6 linked regions of the Nothobranchius furzeri genome follow. The protein of the gene in region 1 interacts with the protein of each later gene in a biochemical or structural test. Links are inferred from orthologs where the notes say so. Each region holds a gene or a part of one and is shown in the gene's direction. Other genes may lie near its edges. The genes, in order: crhr1, dlg1b, magi3a, multiple PDZ domain protein, pdzk1 and disks large homolog 4.

Region 1 (3,500 bases):
ATATACTGATTTACTTTTTGTCTGTGAAGCACTTTGTGACTTGTGTCTGTGAAAAGTGGTATATATATATAAACTTCTTCTTCTTCTCCTTTTTAAAACTTTCCTCTTTGGGCTGGAACTTGTCCCTGACCTGGAACAGGTGTTCTACCCCTTTTTGACTCAAGAGCATGGTCTCAGATTTAGGCCCTGTCCACACGTAGCCGGGGATCTGCCAAAACTTAGATATTTTTCTACGTTTTGGCCTGTCATCCACACGAAAACTGAGTTTTTTTTTTCACACGAAAACGGATCTTTTTAAAAACTCTGGCCAAAGTGAAGACCTGCGTTTTCTCCATTTTGGGTGTCTGCGTGTGGACAGACAAAACCGGAGCTTTAAGGTCCGCAACGTCACGTTCCGCGACAAAAAAATGCTGACATCACGTGTGCGACCTGTGTTTACACTAGCCGACAGCATGGATGCCCACAGAGCTGCGCTCGCTTTATCAATTGTCCAAGCGCTTTCTGCTTGTTTGTTTTTGCAAGCGGAATTACTGCTCCTTGTGGAAGACCACAGACGAAGGACGAGGTTAAGAACGGGGGAAGCACTGCCGCCTACAGGTCTGGCATGTCCTTAACAACGTATTTATCCGAGTACGTGTGAACAGAGTTTTTTTTTTAAACGAGGTGGTGTGGATGCAAGTTTTTGGAGGGGCGGATATTCGTTTTTAAAAAAACCCGGCTACGTATGGACTAGGCCTTAGAGGAGCTGGTTCTCAGCTCAGTGATATAATAAATGCTAATTTGTGACACATGTGTGAGTCTCCTCTGTACGATAAACATTATGTCTGTATATTGCAAGAATGTAGAGAACCTTCACAGAACTAAGTTGAAGACATTTATAAATGATGTAGGAGAACATTAGACATCGTGGTGGATCAGAGCAAAGGGCTAAAGGCCAGAGTGTCAGTTCTGTCAGAGCTCAGTGAAAGAGGACAACTTCACTGAAATCTGAAGACATTGATTCTCCGAGGACAGGAAGATGTTTGGAGGTGTAAATATTTCATGCACTTCGGAGGAGTTAATAATGAAGCAATTAAAAGAATTTCCTTCCCACACAGTTCCAGCTGGTCTGTTTCCAATGTGCTGTTCATTAGCATGAATGACTCATGCACCGATCTAGGCCTCCTCCTTCATTTGGTTGTTCTCATCTGCCAATTTCTTAAACAGCCTCCTTAACCACACCAGTACAACTACAAATCCCACAATCCTTTGGAACAGCTCTGTTCTCCTAATCTACCTCCCTTCTCTCTTCTCTTCCTCCCCTCATCCCTACCTGTTTCTTATCCTCTTTCTCTTCCTTTTCCCTTCTTACTTCTTTTCTCCTTATCCTTGTTTCTCAATCTCTTGTCCTTCCTAAATCTTCTTTTTCCTCTTTATTTGTCCTCTTCCTTTGTCCTCCTCCTCCTCCCACCTCAGGCGTGGTGCAAGCTGGTGACAGCAGCATATAATTACTTTCATGTCACCAACTTCTTCTGGATGTTCGGTGAGGGATGTTACCTTCACACTGCCGTTGTTCTCACCTACTCCACCGACAAGCTCAGGAAGTGGATGTTCATCTGCATTGGCTGGGGTTTGTTCACCTTTTCCACCTGCTCTGCCGTCTCCCTTTTCCCGCCAGTTCTGTCCTCTCACCCGTCCATCCATTCTGGTCATAGGTATTCCGTTTCCTGTCATTGTGGCCTGGGCTTTTGGGAAGCTGTACTATGACAATGAGAAGTGAGTCACACAAAAACACTGAATCTATGTCTCAGTGGTCCAAGTGGAGCACAGGTTAATGCAACACATCTGTACCTGCCAGGTGTCATGTGACACCAACCTGAACTCTGCAGGTTAAGGATGTCACTGAGTTCCTGATGAAGTATGTTGAACAGAAGACTTTGTTTCATTGCAGCGGACAAAAATCCAGAATTTCATCAGTTCACAATGTCACAATCTCAATATTTGTCTGATTGATGTCTAATGGTTTCTGTGTTTTAACTGGAAGATGCTGGTTTGGAAAGAAGGCAGGTGTTTATACAGATTACATCTACCAAGGTCCGATGATCCTGGTCCTGCTGGTAAGCCCACCCTAAAGGATTAAGATCTTTTTCTTTATGTCTGTGAGATTATGACTAATCTTTATGCTGCCTTCTTGGACAAATAGTTGAACAGATTAGTTTTGACTGAACCCAGATCAATTGACTTTTATATCGGGTAACAACACTGGTCTCCTCAAAGCACTACACAAAAATTAGTGAGACAGTTTCAGATCCAGCCCAGATTTAGATCCAGCTAGATTATAATCTAGATCATGTAAACTGGAATCAGCAAATTTTATCTAATCTTCACCAACACAGCCCTTCATCCTGAGCAGAACAGTGGAGGGAAACTCTTTGAACAGAGAGTGTTTAGTTTTAATATGGGAGGGTTGAACAGGACACACTTCAACATTGTCACAAGTAAACTTCAATACAGGCTATGATTCAGTAGCTTCAATAAACATAATTTGTATAGTTAAAACAGAGAAACAGGACTGGACCCCTGAAACCATCACTATTGATGATCATTCAAAAGCAGCTGCAAGTTCTGCATTATCTTTTATTATTATCTAGGCTCCTCCCACTCAGTGGACAGGACACGCCTCAATATATCCATTTTTGATTATGTGAAAAGCTGACAGGAGTCAGGTCTTGTTCTAGTTGGATTAAAGCTCATGGTCTTTAATCAAGTGTTTGACACTAAGCCGATACACCTGTGGCGAAGCGGACAAACAGCCCACATATTGAACAGATCATCCTAATAGCATGATCAAAGCTGAAGGCAGGTGACTGTGACACAGGTTAGCATTCTGTTATCATGCTAATTATTTAACAAGAGGAACGAAACGTCCTTCAGAAATAGAACTGTGATGAACCATCTTTAGTCTGAGGAAACGGGAAAGAGACACTGATGCAGAAATGTTGGCCCTGTCAAGTTTTCAATAAAAAATAGAGAAAACCAAATCAATGGAAGCCATCCATTCATTTTCGGCCGCTTATCCGAGGTCGGGTCACGAGTGCAGTAGGCTAAGCAGGGAGCCCCAGACTTCCCTCTCCCCATCTTTTGTACTTTCTTGCTGTGTTTGTCTTCAAATTCCATTTTTGTTTTTGTTTTTTTAAACACAGATAAGGTTTTTCTTTACCTTGCTGACATTTCGTTTGCGGTTGCAAACATCTTCAGAGCTGACACGGATGGTGGCGTCACTTCCTACTCAGTTTATCCGTGGGCAGCAGAGGATGTTGTCGCCTTCTGCTGCCTGCTCTCCCCTCTCCCCAGCCACTTGGCTGGATTCTCATCCCAGCTGCTTCACACTCGGCTGCGAACCGCTCCAATGAGAGCTGGAGATTACTGGCAGCAACAACAGTAAATAAAACATGGAGAGTAAAGGCAGCAAAATGAATAAATGTGGTCAGTCTGTCCTCCAGCAGCATAACTAAAGGGAT
Region 2 (3,500 bases), on another chromosome or scaffold:
CCCAGCAGCCAGTCCTTTGTGTCGTTTTAACGGTTTTTCATTCAGACTAAAAGCGAACCGTTAGTGAGAGATTCTGATGTTTTCTGGGTTCTGGAGTCGGTTCTGATCTGGTGGGAGTTGAACCGCCTGTCTGAAGCCCGTTGACTTGTAGGCGGAGTGTTTTCCACGTGGATCCGTGTCTCTGGTGCTGCCGGGTTAGGACAAATCTCGGGCTTTGGACCTTTATTTGGAATTAAAATCATCACACCTGGTTCTGCTCCTCAGATGGGTCTGCTCTGCTAGAACTGGGTCGGGTCTGTGATTATTGAAGGTTCTGGTTCAGATCTTGTCTGAAGATCAACAGGAATGAGTCTGACTCTTTTCTAATAAAATGATCCATTAGAACCGTAGAACCCGTAGGGACGGTTCCGGGCTTGGAGCTCGTGTTGCTTCTGCAGAAACATCTCAGCGTTCCTCGACTCCTCCAACCTCTTCCGATGAAAATCCTCTTCCTCAGGAACTATAAGCGACATGAAACCCGAGTTCTGGTTCTGACCCATAGCTGATGGTCCTCGCGTGTTCCGACGTTCCCTTCATCTGCTCGTTGCTGCTTCTGTTTCCTTGAAAAGTTTTTAGACTTTTTATGATTCCCAGAATAAATCCCTGTGACCTATGACCTTAATCTTGCGACCACCAGATTTGAATCCCGTCGATCCGATCAGGCTGGAGGAATAAAACCGTTCGGAGCGTTTTTCATGTCTGGAATTCTGGGATGGAGGAACCAGAAGGCTGGAGAAGATTCCGTAGCCTAAATGTTTGAGGGTGAAGGAGCGGGTTCTGCTTGGAGCCTGGCTGGAAAACCGAGCCTGGAGCAGCTTTAAAGGCCAGCGGTCTGAGAGGAAACATCTGTGCCTGCTGGCGGTCAGCTCCTGCTTCCATGGTTATTTTAGACGTTCCTTCTCTGGAAGCTCTGAACAGAGTCCAAAAATAAAGAAGGCATCGGTGCTAAAATATCCCCCTGGAAAGACTAATTATCTCCCACAGAAGGGAAGGGAATTACGGGAATCATGGGATTCAAATTCTCCCTGAATTTACCTCCAAAATCCCACAAACAGGAACTTCTGGTTTAAAGATAATTGGCTCATAACGATTTCACTTCCAATTAGGGTTGTCACGGTGTGAAAATTTAACCTCACGGTTATTGTGACCAAAATATCACGGTTTTCCGTATTTTTTTAAACGTGCTACATTTTCAGACAATTAAATAAACCCTGTATATCAGGAAAATATTGTCCTCAGTTTGTGTCAAAATTTTGCCTAAAACGTGTTATTTTGTAATTATGTTGTTTATTTGTTTACATTTTTTCCCTTTAGTCTTTAAAACACCAATATTTGCCCATAACTTCTTATTTTTTGTCTGCTTGATGTCATCATTTTAAAAATATTAGACCAAATGATACTCAGTACTCAAGTAGCCTTCTAATCAGATACTTTTTTACCCTTACTTGAGTAATAAACCCTATATCAGGAAAATATTGTCTTCGGTTTGTGTCCTTCCAGTGAGCTTTGCAGATGTGGGAAAATGTCATCAGGCAGTAATCATTGTTAAATTCATAATTATTCTCGGAGAGAGACCAACTCTTATCTGCCCCTGGGAGCCCCGTAATGCATAGCGTCATTTCAACATGGGGGTGTCCGCAACACGGTTTTTATGCAGGCTGCTTTAGCGACTCGTTGCATTCTCCCTCCACCCAAATCCTCGGATCACACATTTTAGCTAAAACGCTAACGTTAGCTTGCCTTGCGTTGACTGTAGAGTTGTGGGTGATGGTCACGCAGATGTGTCATGAGATATGAGGCGTTGCTGCCTTTCACAGAAACTTTTTCTGCACGTGCTGCAAACAGGATAGCCGTCTTCTATCAAATGTCCCTCGGCATTCTTCAAATATCCCAAAAAAATGCCCACACTTCACACTTTGTCTTCTTTGAGGGATAATAAATGTCCTGAGCGCTGCCGTCTCCTCCTTTGGCCATTATTTCAGCTTTAGCTTCAAGAAAGTTTGGATTTTAAACAACAAAGTGCGCATGTGCCGCCTGCAACTTCAGCAGATGATACAGTGGCTGGTAAGGGTCACCGCGCCTACACCACAGCCACGGTAATCCACCGAGATAATATTTTTTTTTTAAAACAAGACGGTTATTATTATTGTCAATTTTTTTATTGGGGTTTACCGCTACACCGGTTACCGTGACAACCCTACTTCCAAGCAAATGAATCAACTTTGAATGGTTAAATTTAAGTGAATAGAAACAATTTTATTCTTAAAGCACTACAGGAAGTAGAAACCGTTGCTGTAGAGTCTAAATCTGAAGTTTCAGATGAATATGTTCAGATTCCCTCATCCCAATCCCGATTAATGTGTTTGAGTTCCCAGCAGCTGCTTTTATTCCTAAATAATTCCCGTTCTGATAATGTAATCCTCTGGTTCCCATCATCTGGGTCGGTACGGGTCGGGTCAGCAGAGAAAAGAGATGCTGCTTTTTCTTTTTTAATCTTTATGAAATGTTGATCAGGAGCTGAAGAAGACTCCTGTGGTTCTGGTGCTGACCCAGTTCTGAGGTCTTGTATGTGCAGTATGTGAATCGGTACCGGTCCAGTTCTGATCAGATTAGTTATCAGTAGTGATGTCCCAATACAACTTTTCACTTCCGACACAACACCGATATGGCAACCTTCAGTACTGACCGATACCAGCAGGAATGCCACAGTGATTTTACTCATTCGGAGAACAAGAGCCGATTACAGTAAGTATGAAAAAAGTGACACTTTTTTCTTTACCTTTGTTGCAATAACTGTATTTATATGGGAGGTTTTGATGCCGCCCGATATAATCTGATTGTTTTTGGGCCGATATCGATATCAGAACGGGACTTCCCTAATCATCAGGTTTATGGATTCCAGACGAGTTTCTGCAGCTTTCAAACTTTTAGTTTATGGTCTGATTAAAGCATGTCCCTGTCCCTGTCCCATGCTCTGTCCTCCCAGATATCCAGGAATTTTACGAAGTGACCTTATTGGACAGTCAGAGATGGGCGGAGTCTTCCAAGGGGGCGGACCCCATGGCGCCTGTCCACCTGTGGGACTTCCCGAGTCTTCAGAGCACAACGGTGACCTCGGAGACTCTGCCCAGCCTTAGCACCAGCATCGAGGTAAGATGACGAAGAAGAAGAAAGAGCTTTTCTATAGCGCCTCTCAAGATAAAAGTCACGAGGCGCTTAAAGGCGTAAGAACAGATCGGTCCTGCTGGAACTGGTCGGAACATTCTGGACTCAGGCGTGTTTCTCTCATGTCCCGGTTCTGAAGGTCCAGTAGATGCACAAAGAGTTAAAGTAGAAATGGATAAAACTAGAATTTTAGATAAAGCAGAACTGAAGCTGCTCTAACAGAACCGACTCCCAAGTTCTCCTGTGAGGTCCTCAGGATCTGATCGGACAGGAGAAATGGGTCGGTACCGGTGGTT
Region 3 (3,500 bases), on another chromosome or scaffold:
TTCCAAGCGTCGGCTGCGTTAGCTGCCGTCTGACTGTGGCTGCATTAGCATTAGCAGCCTTCTTTTCATTGTCTGCGGTGAGCCTCGAAAACTCACCGTGCTCCGCCAAGTGTTTAGTCTTTAAATGTCGGATCAAATTCATCGTGTTGAATTTTTTTGAAGTGCTTCCTCCGCGGGGTATGTTTTCGTTGCAAGTGTTGCAAGACGCAAACTTAATATCACTCTCGCACACCGTAAAGAAGTTCCGCACGGCAGACTTGTTTGTCTTCGCGGGTTTGCCGCCACGCGCATGCGCACTAAGCGGGGAGAAGCGGAAGGGTGAACTACCAGCCGGGAAGAGTAAGCGCCAGTGCCAGAGCGGAAATGAAAGGCAGCGATCGGCGATCACAGATCACACACTTTTGCAGGAAAATCGGCCGATAATTATCTGCGGCCGATCAATCGGAGCACCCCTAGTTTTAATCACAAACACCCTCACCAGCCACGCCGCCTGCGGGAACCAGGGCTTGTCTGAGCCGCTGTTGTTTTTCTAGCATCTCAAACTACTTTGAACATTCTCCTGACTTCTGACCTGAAGAGGACGTTTTCATTCACTGGGGATTTTCTCTTTTTCAGACAATTCTTTGTAAAGCCCACAGGTGGTTGTAGGTCCAAATCCTGGTAGACCCAACCATTTATGTGGAGTGTTTGTGAAAGCTCTTTGTTCTTCTTTTAGGTGATGTCATAGTGGACATAAACAGGGCGTGTGTGTTGGGGAAGACTCACGCTGATGCGGTGCAGATGTTCCAGTCCATTCCAATCAACCAATACGTAGACCTGGTCCTGTGCCGGGGTTACCCTCTTCCTGACGACTCCAGCAGCAGCGAGGAAGTGTCGGGGAGCCTCATTGCCTCGAAGGATGCCTCCTCTTCTCCGTCCACTTCCACACCACAGAACGTCCCAGATGGAGGAACCCTGTCCCGGCACACAGCCTCAGTTCCACCCATGACTAATGGAGGAGGACGCCTTCCACATCCCCAGCTGCAGCAACAGAACCTTCCTCTCACCCTAAACCAGGAAGGGCCAGACTCCACTCTGTTGCAGCCGGAGCTGGTGAGCGTACCATTGGTCAAAGGCCCGGGAGGTTTTGGCTTTGCCATTGCCGACTGTCCCCTGGGTCAGAAGGTGAAGATGATCTTGGATGCGCAGTGGTGCCGCGGCTTGTTGAAGGGCGATGTCATCAAGGAGATCAACCGGCAGAACGTTCAAACGTTGAGCCACTCCCAGGTGGTGGACATCCTCAAAGACCTGCCGGTGGGCAGCGAGGTCAACGTGCTGGTGCTTAGAGGAGGTGAGTCCACGGGAAGGAGGGGTCATGCTGCAAACTTTGTTTTTTTTTATCAACCAGAGTTTTATTCTGACACCAAACGGGCTCTAGTCTAAAGATGAAGTGGAAGTGTGTCCCTCACACAGATTTGCATCACCTGTTGCTTGCACAGCACTTAAAACAACAACAACAACAAAGCAATGGGCTGACAGTCCAGTCTGTATTTGAAATGAATTTCTTCAGCAGTGAGGCAGCAGCATGATTCGCCCTTTGTCTAAGATCTGCCGAGTCTAGAGGAGGTCAGAATGACGGAATCGTGTAAATGTTTTCATTTATAAATGACAGGATGGTTTGTGTGCAGCACATTGTGCTTGAATACATGCACACACACACACACACACACTCCTTGTTAAATAAAGCAATTTCACGCTCTAGTCCATGCCAGCTCTGCATCATCTACCTCCCAAAACAGGAAGTAAGCAAAGTGCAGTCACAAGTGCTGGGAAGAAGAGGGGGGGGGGGGGGGGGGGGGGATGACGGTTTTACTGATTCACTCACTGCCTTAAGAGAAGGAGGGAAGGGAAGGCATGGAGAGAGCAGGAGCGTGGTGGGTAATCATCACCACTCGCTTTCTTGCTTCGTGCTTTCACAGATTTGAAGGGCTCGTTCTTTTTTCTTTGCCTTTGCTGCAGTGCAGTAGCCTAGATTCAAGAGATCAACGTTGCACCCACACATCAGATGCACTGAGCCGGGTTCTGCTGTGCGCTCTGGGGGCCTTATCTATCTGTGTGTGTGTGTGTGTGTGTGTGTGTGTGTGTGTGTGTGTGTGTGTGTGTGTGTGTGTGTGTGTGTGTGTGTGTGTGTGTGTGTGTGTGTGTGTGTGTGTGTGTGTGTGTGTGTGTGTGTGTGTGTGTGTGTGTGTGTGTGTGTGTGTGTGTGTGTGTGTTCTGTTTAGTAACTGTAGCGTTTGTAGCTCCCAGAAAACATTTCTATTCTTTGCAACAACATTCTCGTTTGATTAGAAACTGAAATGCAGATGTGCAGGCAGATGGAGAATTTATAAACTTGAACTAGCTTGTAGAACAACGGCACATCAGCGGCAGGAAATCCAAATTAGTCGAAGCATAAAATACTACAAACAACATAAAATGAGCTGAAAATGGAAGAGAGCAGGAAAACGGGCGTGAAGACCAGCGGAGGAAAGGACCTGGTGAGATGTGAGCAAAACTAGTCACATAGTCAAAAATGACCTGTTTTCTTAAGCACTGTAAGACTTTTCGAGGTTAAGGAGAAGAGGTGGAGATGTGCATGAGTGCTGAAGTACAGACCTGCAACGGCTGAATAAAACTTGACGTGCAGGAAATGTTCAAACAAACCAGTAAACGGCTCCTTGAATCTTAAAGTAATGAAATAGTCTTCATTAGTATTTTTAATTACACAATAACCAGTTGTGTCTGTGCTGTTTTTACTGTTTCGGGAAGGGACATTCTCATTCTTCAGGATGCTGCCATGCTTCCTATGCTAAAGGAGCCACTGAAGGATGATGAAGCGTATTAGAGGATAAACACATGTTTCTGTATCAAACTTCTAAAACACTTTAGTCTGTTGGAGATTGCTTTCTGATCAGACTGGATAAATATTCCAAAGTGACCAAAGCGCTCTTAAAACAGGTCAAGTCTCCAAAATCTTTACATTAGTTCACCCAAGTATATATTTGTTGCAAACTTAAGAGTTTTGCAGAGTTTCGTGACATCATTTCACGTTAGCTTTTGTTTAAGTTCAGCAGCAACACGTTTTGGTCGCGGCAGGTTCAGACTAGTCGTCCGTCTCATCAGCTCTGATAGGAACAGACCCACCTGGGTAAGATGGTAATGAGTGATGACGTGAAGCTGCTCAAGTCAAAGGTTCGGATCGTTTGGAGAACAGCTCCTGGTACAACATCTGTTTTAAACATAAGTAAGAAATTCAAATGAGGAGAAACTAAGAACCAAAGTAAACCCAAAAGTTTGCATGAATCTAAAACTTGAGGATTTGTATCTGCAGCAAGTAAGTGTCCACTTTAACCTAAAACACACGTTTCCCCTGGCTGTAGGTCTACCTCCTTCCATCCTGTAACACAGGCCTACGATTCCTGATACTTGAGTCTACTGCCCCCTGCTGATTGAACAGATTCTGTCACTATTGATTTACCCTT
Region 4 (3,500 bases), on another chromosome or scaffold:
CTCATCTCTGTCCTGTTAGATCAACGGACACGTTCTTTATGGCCACAGCCATCAGAATGCGTCGTCTATTATCAAGAGTTCCTCATCCAAAGTCAAAATCATCTTTATCAGGTAAAAAAAAACGGTTGTATTTGGTGTAATTCTTCTAAATGTCCACCAGAGGAAGCTATTGTTATTCTACAGATTTGCTCAGTGTTGCACAACATTTTTAAAAATGTATAGCAACAATATAATTTTAGTTGTCTGCTAGTTAAACATAATAGTAATTATTATTGGTATGTTTTAACTAGTTGTTCACAGAATGATTAAAAAGCAGCTTTTTTGTGATCAAAGATGAGTTTTACTACCTATAATTGCTCTGCTGCCTGAAACAGAGACGGACTCTCAGCCTCATCATCACCAGGGACATGTTTGACCTCTGACCCTAGTTTTAGTCTTATCCAGGATCCAACTACTTAACCCCCCTACTTAACTCACATCCCAGTCCTGACCCCCCCCCCCCCCCCCCCCCCCCCCTGCTGAAACAGACACAGAGCAGCCTGCGTATATTACCATTCCCTCTGTCCCGGAGCAGAGGAGCAGTGGTTTACGTGAGTTATGACTCTGTGGAACAGGAACACGGAGGCACTGAACCAGATGGCTGTGGGACCTGTGAGAGAGCACGAGGGAGGCGCAGAGGAGCCCCACGCTGCTGAGGTGCGATCATAAAACACAAGAACTCCCAACACACTCCCATCGTGCAGCTGGTAGAAAGTGACGCTTGACTTCACTTTACTTCTGGTCTTCTTGTACAATAATTAGGCTTTTACTCTGCGTCATGCATCTGACTTCTGTGTTTATCCCCCTGTGTGGTCGAGGGAACTCCCTAAACACCCAGAAAACCTCAAACTGTAGTTTGGAAAACTCATAATGCCGAGGTGGACCAGTGTGGATTTTAATGAGACTGATGTGCTGATTTCTTTTTAAATTAACGCAGCTACTTCATATTCTTTTTTTTTTTTTTACCTCCATCTTATAAAAATAGACTCCTAATGACCTACTGAAATGGTCTGCATCCTGTGGCTCTGACGCCACTCATGGTTCTTTGGCTCAGTTGAAATTGCTCCTTGTACTTATGAGCAAAAATGAGTCATTTTAACATTTAAGCTGATAAAAGACAATGATAATTTTAGCAGTTTTCCATTCCAATTGTTGCAAATATTCATGAAGTTTCTGCCACAGAATGAATAATAATACCAGTAGGTTTTAGTGCCAGATGCAACTAATAACTTGGGTTTTAACCAAAAGGTTTTAAAATATTAGTTTTACTGATGGGCTAATTGTTTGTGTTTTATTTTTGCTTGTTTTAAAAAATTCTACTTTAAAGGGGCATTATGGAAGTTTGACAGCCAAAACATGTATAGAAATAATAAATTTCTTCTTCATACATTCTCCTGCAAGGCCCTGGTCCTGTAGAATGAGCCCTGGCATTTTTACTGTGATTGCCTGTTTTTCCGTAAAATCACAGAAAAAGAGAGCTGCTCGGGTCGAGCAGGCTGCTTCATGCGCGTTCACGCACAGGCATCGCCCGTAGCATTTGCTATCCGTCGCTTTAGCAGCAGAGAGTGAGGTAGTGCCAACACAGCGACAAGTGATGAACCTAGCTACATTTCTGAGGACCATTAGCTACTTTCTTCTAGATTTTTCCTGCAAATTAGCAACAAAATAGCCATTTTCGCTCCGGACCGTTCTTTGGATTGACGTTGTTTCAGCTGTCATCAAGGGTATAAACGTTACAGATACAAAGAATGTCACTGGCACTTTAGCTCACTTAGTGAGACGTCTGACTCTCATGTAGGAGACCTGGGTTAAATTCTGGGTGTGAATAAAGAGTTTCTTTTTTACATTAGTGATAATTTGTTTTACAGTAATAAGACACCCAGATTTTTATTTGAGACTTGCCGAACGGCGTTGAATTCACAGGTAAAAAAGATGTGGGTTCAACTTTCATTTTGGAACAATTTTTCAAGCAAGGGAAGGGAATGATCTGAGCATGCAGGAGGACTGACCCATCATAAACCTTTGTCGGCTGTGCTGAAGAGAAAGGTACAGAACCAAATTATTTAATTAATTAGCTGCACGTTCTCCTGTCCTCTGTCCTCCAGGCCACACACACACACACACACACACTGCACGTTCGGCCGGCTGACGAGAAAGTGCAGCTGCAGAGACAGAGGGACATTATTTTTATTAATTTCCTGTGTTCTTCTGTCCTCCGGGCCACACACACACACACGGGACTGTCTCAGCTGTTATTTTCATTAAGGAGTGTACACGTACAGCATGCACGCCTCGTGCACGAGCCTACTATTGAAGCTGCCATTAAGCTTTTGGCCTGAGGGGGCAATCGCGAGCATAAAAATTCAAAACTCCGAAAAGTCCCTTTAAATTAAAAAGCACAAGGTAGTTTTATAGATGCACCAATTCTGGTGTTGAGAGCCAATACCGATTTCTGATGTTTGTACGGCTCTAAGCTGCCAGTACATAGTTTGGGCTGTCAAAGCTCAGTGGCCTAGTGGTAGAGTGTCCTCCCTGAGACTGGGAGATCAGGGTTCGATTCCTGGTCGGGTCTTACCAAAGACTTTGAAACAATGCGACCTAATGCCTCCCTGCTTGACACTCAGGATTAATGGGTTGGATTGGGGGTTAAACCACCAAATGGTTCCCGAGCGCGGCTGTTTCTGCAGCTCACCGCTCCCCCAGGGGATGGGTCAAATGCGGAGAACAAATGTCGCACACACATAAGTGTGTGTGACAACTATTGGGACTTTAACTTTAACAAAGGACTAAAATGAATAGATTTTCAATTAACTCGGAAATGGTTTGTTAGGATATAATAACTAAATAAATAATGAGTTTAAAAAAATTTTTTTGTTCTAAATTTATTTGAACTTAAATAAGGTAAAAAAGATTAATTAAAACTTGGCAATAAAAACCGGCATTATAAAATATTTAATTGCAAGCAGTCAGCATCCCCATATGTGGACATTGGTCCTCAGAGGTTAAGACAGGTGACAGTACCACACAGCTAGCTGTTCTTAAAACACAGAAAAATAAAAAATAATGAACTTCTGATAATGGAAGACTGATACTTTAAGCATTTTAATAATTTGTTATTTGCTTAGTTTATTTAATGGTTGTTCGTTAAGACACTAAGGTGCAGTTTGATGATATATTTATCTCAGGGTCATAGGGCTCATTTTCCTAGAGAACTACTGTGTTTATTCTTTTTTTTACTTTGAACTAAGAGATGGTAGAAATTTTGTAGTAAATGTCGTTGATTCCTGACTTAATTTTTAAATAAACATTAAGAACACTTAAGAAAATATATCAGGCTGACACATTGATCTGACTCTATTTAAATGTTCATCTGTTCTCTCACAGCCTCAGCTGGCTGCAGAATACGACGGTGATGCGTCCGAACATGTTCATCCTGTGGTAAAGGTTGAGGTGAGACACAC
Region 5 (4,035 bases), on another chromosome or scaffold:
AATTTAACAGTTTTCCCTTGTAAATTTGAAAGAGACACTTTTGACTGTGTGCAGTTTGTGCTGCACTTCTTACAGCATAGAACAGGAGGCTGTAATGTGATCCACATTCTTGCAGGCTGTCCGGAACCTGGATAATGGATGCCCTTGCATCTTTCCACCATCAGCGACTAATTTCTATCAATGTGCCTTAATGCTTCTAGTGGTAATGCCCTATTAAGGGCAGCAGTGTGCCAAAAAAATAAAGAAAATGTGCCAACTCAAAGGTTTTCTGACAGAAATCAATGCACTGAATATGATTTAGAGCTTATAACAGAATCAGTGTTTTTCCAACATGCATAAGAAGTTTATTTTTTTAGAATCATTTGATATTTTACTAAAGCAGAATCAAAATGAAAATAAAAGTTTCCATCTAGTTTAGAAAAAAATGTCCTATATCAGCCACAAATAAGGTAAAGACAGATGATTATTTCCTTCATGATTCATTTAATTTAATTTGTAATTTTAGTTATTGCTTACCTTTATTTTAAAATATTTGAGATGCTATTATGAAGTCCCCTAGTGTCCAAGTCCTCATGCTTGCTCCTAGAATTTGACATTTATGACACGTTTCTGTAAAAACACACCTTTGTCCAGTCCATATGACAGCAGTACAAGACCTTCATACCTACAGCTACAGTAACAATAAACAATACACCCACGTTTACTGGGAACATCATAAAAAACCTTGTAGACGGAGTACGTACATGACAAACTACAATAAAACCTCTGTGAAATAAATCCTCGTTCTCTTCACTGAGTGCTAGAGATTATCTAAATCAAACTAATAAAAGTAATAAAAAATAAATAAACCACACATGAAAATATAATAAAAAATATCCATATTGAATTTAATTGGACATTTATTTTTGCTAAATGTTGTTTTTCCACAACATAAACTTTCATAAATCAGATACTAAGTATGTTTTCTTAATCTTAATGGCTGATGGCCTCTTCTGTGTGTTTTATTCATGAATTTTAGATAAATAAACATAAACAGGATGCAGTCTTGTGGATTCTGACTATGATGTGTGAACATGGCTGTTCAGCAGCCACCTGCTGCAAACTTTGAAAAATAAATAGATGACTGCTCGCACTCGACAGACTGCAAAGAGCCTCAGACACTCATGACACAAGACGTTGTTAAATAACTCTTTAGGCTGAACTTTGACCTGTCAAAGTCCCTTAGGGAGGTGGGGAGGGGGGAGTGCAGGTTTAAGATGCCATAACAGCTAATCAGTGACAGGTGAGCTCCCCCTTTAGACGCAGACACTCAACAGAGGAGAGTCGGTGAGTGAAATGTTTATTTTACTCTTTATTTTTTATTGTTATACTTTTTTTTAAATAAATTTGGGGAAATTTTAAGATTCATAAAGGTTTCCTGTGGAGATTAAAGAACACGTTTAATCATTTGCTGGAAAACCTCTGATACTTTAACAGGTGAAAAAATATCAACAAGTTAAAAACGGTGTTATCACTGTTTGTTGCTTTGGGTTTATTGATATTATTTTCCAATTTTTAAGTATTGAACAGAATAATCTACTTCTTTGGGGCTCTTAATATTAAACTAGCTTTATATTTTGGTGAAAAAGCTGTTAAAATCAAATCTAATACGACGTAAACTTTATAACCACATTACAAATATGTACCGCTTTTAAATAACTATTAAACTTTTAATAGTTGTATCAATACTTCAGCTGTAAGCACAAGTAAAAAAAACAAGATTAATAAAGTCAAATGAAGCATACAGCTAAACATTTCTTTTATAAGGATAAAATAAATATTACACCTTTTTAACTCTAAGATAAAGGTCATAACTCTATTTTAAGTTGTTATTAGTGTGTTTTTAATTATTTAATTGCCTAAATTATACATTGAAATAGTTAAAACTAATTAAAATACATTTTGTATTTAATACATCATGAAAACAAACCCAAAGTTTTTATTAATTTACAAATTTCTTAAACGTTGCAATGAATCTCGTTTAAGACATGAGTGTTTGCGTTTTTAATATAAGCACACCTGCCTTTTATAGCATCCCGCTGAGAGTTAAACCCACAACCCTTAATTTGGATTCAAAGTCCAGTGATTTTTATTTCACTGTCAGCTGTGTGTCCTGCAAATCATTACATGCCTGTTGTCATGGAAGAGTAACTTTTCATCCTCTATCAGCACTTCTGTCACGTCTTTATGTGCTGAAGTATCCACTCTGATAAATATGCTTAATGCGTAGCACAATAGATTACAAGGTGAACTAATTTATGATCGTCAACAAATGTAAAGGGGAAAAACAGCTGTTTAAGTTCGATTGCATTTTCCAATCTCAAAGCTCTAAAACCAAAATAAGTCTAAGGCTTAACTGGCTTGGTCAAATTTATTGACACTTTAAAGGTGTGGAACACTCAGTTAATCAATGCATCGGCAATGATCTCTAGCAGAAAGAAATGGATTCTAATTTATGATGCTCCTGTTTCAGCACAGAGAAGTAAGCTGAAGGAGAAAGTAGCTTCAGACAACAAGATTAGTAGTTTTATTTCCTGATATTTGGTCATCTTGCATTGGATTGGCTAACAGCAACGTGACAAAAGTTAACGTTTTATCTCCACAAATAACTCAACCCTGAAGGAGTTCTGCTGTGTGGTGGAGTTGCTAATGCTAACTAGATTCCACTAGCCAAGACGTTCTCTGCTGATTCCTGGATGCTAAACCAACAACAGCCTTCCCCATCACGAGTCAAGATGGGTGAATCCATGCATGGATATAAATTTTGGTGTGTGTGTGTGGTTGGGGGGGGGGGGGGGGGGGGCATGTCACCCCCCCCCCCCCCACACACACACACACCCCACACCCACGCACACTTTTGCCAAAGTCATGTTTTGACCCCTGCACTTTTTATCGTCCAAAAACAATATTACTCTATATTAAGTAGACACTGGTTGAGCTCTAGGACCAAGTGGAAAACAACTGTTTGTGTTGAAGCCTGTTTCCCATTAGAACATACTGAAAAGATTCCCGCTGGTCCTCGGTTGTCCCCCCACCCCTTACGCCTAAGACTTAACTATATATATATATATATATATATATATATATATATATATATATATATATATATATATATATGTGTGTGTGTGTGTGTGTGTGTGTGTGTGTGTGTGTGTGTGTGTGTGTGTGTGTGCAATACAAGGGAGACGATATGATTTACTGTGAAGTTAAAAGCTGACAATATTTGCAGATGTTAAAACAGTTTTATTTGAAAACTGAGGCCAAATGCTTCCAAGACACATTCAGTATTATTGTGAGATCTCGCTGGTTTGTCAGAATGAAGGCAGTAAAAGCTGCTGCCACCTAGCGGCCGGAGTTTGAATTGCACCACACAAAAGAAGTACAATACATACAGAATATTGCGATATTACATTGTCTCAACATTTTCTTGCATCTCTGTTAAGTACCGTTTATTATTTCTTTGTTCATGTTAGGACAATGGCCACGTACACGCCAAGGGTGATCTCCCTGGCCAAGAGGCCTGGTCAGACATTTGGCTTCTTTCTGAGGGTGGAGCAAAGTAAGGAGGGCCACCTGATTCGCTGCCTGGAAATGGGAGGTCCAGCTGAACTGGCTGGTATGAAAGATGGAGACCGCATCCTTCGGGTCAATGGAAAATTTGTCGATGGGCTTACCCATTCAGAGGTGAGCAGAATGTAGATACACAGCAGATCCAATCACCAGCAGTGAATTTCCATGGTGTCCCTCTACTAGGTGGTGGAGCTGGTGAGAAACAGTGGAGCATCTGTCACATTCCACATTCTGGATGAATCGTCTTACAATCAAGCAAAAACACTCGGAGTGAACCTCTCCGACCCTCAAAGCTCACCCATTGCCAACGGATTGGCTAAAGAAGATTGGAAGCCCAAACTCTGCTACCTGGTCAAATCTAAGTCAGGATTTGGGTTTTCCATTAGCTCATTTAAAGGTAAGGTACATTTGTAAAGGGTTAAAGAA
Region 6 (3,500 bases), on another chromosome or scaffold:
GCCTTATTTTTTATTTAGCATATTTGCTAAATGTTTTCACTACTATCAGTCTGTTGTTTTGCACATTTAAATACACAGAATTTCAATATTTTATACATAAATAAGAAAATAAGTTAATAATAAGGTTTGATGCATAGACGCTTTTTTGGAAACTGAAGTGTTTATTGGTTAGATCCAATAAACTTGTTTTCTAATAAATATATAATTTTTTGGGTTGGTAAACCACTGATATACCACTGCAGAAAACCTGATTCTGGGGGGTGGGGGGGGGGGGGGGGGGGGGGGGGGGCAAATTTTCTGATGGCTATATTTTCAGAGACAACCAAGCTCCAAAAATATGGGGTGTACAATTTTTTTTTCAGCCAAAAGACAAAAATTCATGCTGTGGAGGGTTCAGAGTGAGGCTCTCTGAGACGTATAACACTTGTTCTTTTAGAAATATGATCGGTCTCTCAGCTCCACGTGCATGAGGAGCATGAACATAGTCCCTTACTTCTCCTGTATTAGCCGCTGAATGAAAGTGGACGATGAAATGCTCGGGTCAGAAAAGGCCTCACGGATCTGCATCACACTGTAAATTAGCATTCTGCCATCTTGGCTCGTGAACTGGAAGGCTATTATTGGTTTAGTGTCCAGGAGAGAGCAGAGCACATCTTGGCTAGTAGAAGCTAACCGTTAGCATTAGCAACCCCAAAACATGGCAGAACTCCTTCAGGCTTCTGTTATTTGTGGAGATAAAACAACATTTAAGAGCGAATGAAGGCAGTGGGAAAGTTGCATTGCTGTTAGTCAATCAGAGGCGAGATGCTTGGATATCATGAATGATCATCAGTAAGACTCCATGTCCATTTTCCACCTCCTCTCATCCAACTAATGTCTACTTCCTGACACAGGAGCACCAAAGCTTTTTCCTCACCAAAAATGGCTCTCAAGGTTCATACTGGAGCGTATGTCGACACTAACCCGCATTTAATCCTTGAATTTTTTAACGTTTCTTCTCCATGTGCACAAAAAATGCACTGGGAGGGTATAAGGGTTATGGTTTGATCAAGTCAAGGAAGAAATTCTACCATCTTTAAATGTTAAAAATTAGTTTCTGACATTTTCTAATGGAGAATTATCCTGATATAGTCACCAAAGTCATGCTGTTCTCACTTTCCCACTCACCGACTCTCTCCATGTCGCCTACTTTCTGTTTCTCAGTGTGAACGACTGCATCCTATTTGTGAATGATGTCGATGTGAGGGAGGTGACACACAGCCAGGCTGTGGAGGCTCTGAAAGAGGCAGGTGCTATTGTCCGCCTCTACGTTCTCCGCAGAAAACCAGCAGCAGAAAAAGTCACCGAAATCAAACTCATCAAAGGGCCTAAAGGTACATGGAGGACTGGGCTGGTTTACCAGCACGGAGGCTTTTGTGTGGGCTTAGCGGCGCCATGTGCCCAACTAAGCTGTGCCCTTCTGGATTTAGCAAATCTCTTCTGCGTCCCCCAATTCTTTGCTCACTCTGTGTTTCTTTTATCTCTTTGGTTTTTTTCTCAGGATTGGGTTTCAGCATCGCTGGAGGGGTGGGAAACCAGCACATACCGGGAGATAACAGCATCTACGTCACCAAGATCATCGAAGGCGGGGCGGCTCACAAAGATGGACGTCTGCAGATCGGGGACAAGATCTTAGCGGTCAGTCATGCAGATATAATAATAAGCACATGGATGCAGAGATAGCAACACACACACATTAAAACAGACATTATGCACGTTTGTCCTGAAGCCAAGCCTTTACAGCTGCAGGCTTTACTCTCTGACATTACGCTCATTAACATGATGCTGCATGTGCCAGATGGATGACTGTAAACATCCAACATCATGCTTCTCAAACAGCTCTGCTGCTGTCTGGTGGACAACACAGAAACTCACACCTAAAGCTTCAAAATGGAGCTTAGTTTCCTCTAAATGGTGTGTGAGTCAGCGACAGCATTTCTTGTGCATTGAGACTTGTCATAAAATATTGATTGCATTGTTCTGATTAGCTAATATTAATCATGTCTTAATACCTGGGTATCTGCTGCTCCCTGTGCATGCGTGTCTGGTTAGTAGAGAGATGGAGGGGCCACCGGCTCACTGCTGAAAGCTTTTGTGCTAGCATCTGTTCTCCTAAAGGGGATAAATACATGTTGACTGGCAGGTCAGACATTGTTATACATATCTCATTGTAGCATGCACTAACTTGACCTTAATGTTTATTTAGAGTAAAATAAAGTTTCAGCTGCTTGGATTTGCTGGTGAACGTCTACGCTACAGCTGCAGTTGTTTGCAATCCTGCTTGCCGTCAACATGCAGGTGAACAACGTGTGTCTGGAGGACGTGATGCACGAGGATGCAGTTGGAGCTCTGAAGAACACGGGCGAGGTGGTGTACCTCAGAGTGGCCAAGCCAAACAACCTGTTTCTGACCAACTCCTACAACCCACCAGACCTCACCAGCAGTAAGATCCGCGCTCTGGTTTTAGTGGCACTTCTTTTTCTCATCGCGTTTCAAAAATTTATTAATGCCACATCATTTAGTCTAAGCATTTTACCATTAATTTAATAAAAATGATGAGTACATTTCTCTTTGATTACAGATAGACAATTTTTCATTCTTTTCTAAACCATAAGATAAGAGTTGCCAGACAACACAAATGAGATGCAACATTTCAGCTCTGGAGTTTCTATTTAGCTCAGAAATAATATAATATTATAAATAAAATGTTTACTCACAGAAAATTTGATGCGCTTTTGTACTTTTGCAGTATTTAGTCACTTGCGTGATCATCTGAGCTACTAAAACTGTGAATTTTTGGGGCTAAACAACAGTTGGGTGACACTTTTATACCCCAGATTTTAGTAGGATGCAGATTTCCAACACAATCCTTCTTAAAGTCATAAAAGTTTCACACATTCTAAGGATAGAAGCGTGTAAATTGATAAGAATTTAGACTCTGCTGATTAAACTCACCTGTGACAAATGACATCGTGTTTATCGCCACATCACAGCTCTGATTTGTGACAACTTTTTCCGCAGCGTATTCTCATATGGATACTGAACTGAGCCACTCCAACTATCTTGGATCTGATTACCCACAAGCCCTCACTCCGACCTCACCGAGCCGGTTTTCTCCTGTTCTGCACGGCATGCTGGGAGACGATGACATCCCCAGGTGATACCATTCTCCTGCGTGGTGCCTTCTTATTGAGTTTTCAGCTTTATTGATGCCTCTGTTGGTAAACGTTTCAGGGAGCCCCGGCGAGTTCTGATCCATCGAGGCTCCACGGGTCTGGGCTTTAACATTGTTGGCGGAGAGGATGGAGAAGGAATCTTTATCTCCTTCATCCTGGCAGGAGGGCCGGCCGATCTCAGCGGAGAGCTTCACAAGGGCGATCAGATCCTCAGTGTAATGACATTTTCATCAACGCTGAATTCCTCACACACACTCTTGTGCATTTTAATGGCTGTAAACACAC

What was found.
Region 2: the proteins of crhr1 (region 1) and dlg1b form a complex in vitro, tested with the Homo sapiens proteins (3 studies listed by BioGRID and IntAct, with this or other methods). The link is inferred for Nothobranchius furzeri from reciprocal best matches to the Homo sapiens genes CRHR1 and DLG1.
Region 3: the proteins of crhr1 (region 1) and magi3a form a complex in vitro, tested with the Homo sapiens proteins (2 studies listed by BioGRID and IntAct, with this or other methods). The link is inferred for Nothobranchius furzeri from reciprocal best matches to the Homo sapiens genes CRHR1 and MAGI3.
Region 4: the proteins of crhr1 (region 1) and multiple PDZ domain protein form a complex in vitro, tested with the Homo sapiens proteins (2 studies listed by BioGRID and IntAct, with this or other methods). The link is inferred for Nothobranchius furzeri from reciprocal best matches to the Homo sapiens genes CRHR1 and MPDZ.
Region 5: the proteins of crhr1 (region 1) and pdzk1 form a complex in vitro, tested with the Homo sapiens proteins (2 studies listed by BioGRID and IntAct, with this or other methods). The link is inferred for Nothobranchius furzeri from reciprocal best matches to the Homo sapiens genes CRHR1 and PDZK1.
Region 6: the proteins of crhr1 (region 1) and disks large homolog 4 form a complex in vitro, tested with the Homo sapiens proteins (2 studies listed by BioGRID and IntAct, with this or other methods). The link is inferred for Nothobranchius furzeri from reciprocal best matches to the Homo sapiens genes CRHR1 and DLG4.

Annotation. Positions count from the first base shown.
Region 1 is NC_091746.1:33,510,673-33,514,172, forward strand, and holds part of crhr1 (corticotropin-releasing factor receptor 1), read left to right. Parts: intron 1-1,455; coding exon 1,456-1,609; intron 1,610-1,694; coding exon 1,695-1,755; intron 1,756-2,023; coding exon 2,024-2,096; intron 2,097-3,500.
Region 2 is NC_091751.1:34,938,310-34,941,809, reverse strand, and holds part of dlg1b (disks large homolog 1), read left to right. Parts: intron 1-3,025; coding exon 3,026-3,189; intron 3,190-3,500. UniProt on the Homo sapiens protein: Essential multidomain scaffolding protein required for normal development. Recruits channels, receptors and signaling molecules to discrete plasma membrane domains in polarized cells.
Region 3 is NC_091755.1:38,365,285-38,368,784, reverse strand, and holds part of magi3a (membrane-associated guanylate kinase, WW and PDZ domain-containing protein 3a), read left to right. Parts: intron 1-715; coding exon 716-1,330; intron 1,331-3,500.
Region 4 is NC_091742.1:68,620,705-68,624,204, forward strand, and holds part of multiple PDZ domain protein, read left to right. Parts: intron 1-19; coding exon 20-111; intron 112-614; coding exon 615-696; intron 697-3,423; coding exon 3,424-3,500. UniProt on the Homo sapiens protein: Member of the NMDAR signaling complex that may play a role in control of AMPAR potentiation and synaptic plasticity in excitatory synapses. Promotes clustering of HT2RC at the cell surface.
Region 5 is NC_091754.1:24,604,905-24,608,939, reverse strand, and holds the start of pdzk1 (Na(+)/H(+) exchange regulatory cofactor NHE-RF3), read left to right. Parts: upstream 1-1,235; 5' UTR 1,236-1,326; intron 1,327-3,512; 5' UTR 3,513-3,516; coding exon 3,517-3,723; intron 3,724-3,792; coding exon 3,793-4,006; intron 4,007-4,035. UniProt on the Homo sapiens protein: A scaffold protein that connects plasma membrane proteins and regulatory components, regulating their surface expression in epithelial cells apical domains.
Region 6 is NC_091750.1:46,505,815-46,509,314, forward strand, and holds part of disks large homolog 4, read left to right. Parts: intron 1-1,203; coding exon 1,204-1,373; intron 1,374-1,540; coding exon 1,541-1,677; intron 1,678-2,337; coding exon 2,338-2,482; intron 2,483-3,060; coding exon 3,061-3,196; intron 3,197-3,273; coding exon 3,274-3,430; intron 3,431-3,500. UniProt on the Homo sapiens protein: Postsynaptic scaffolding protein that plays a critical role in synaptogenesis and synaptic plasticity by providing a platform for the postsynaptic clustering of crucial synaptic proteins.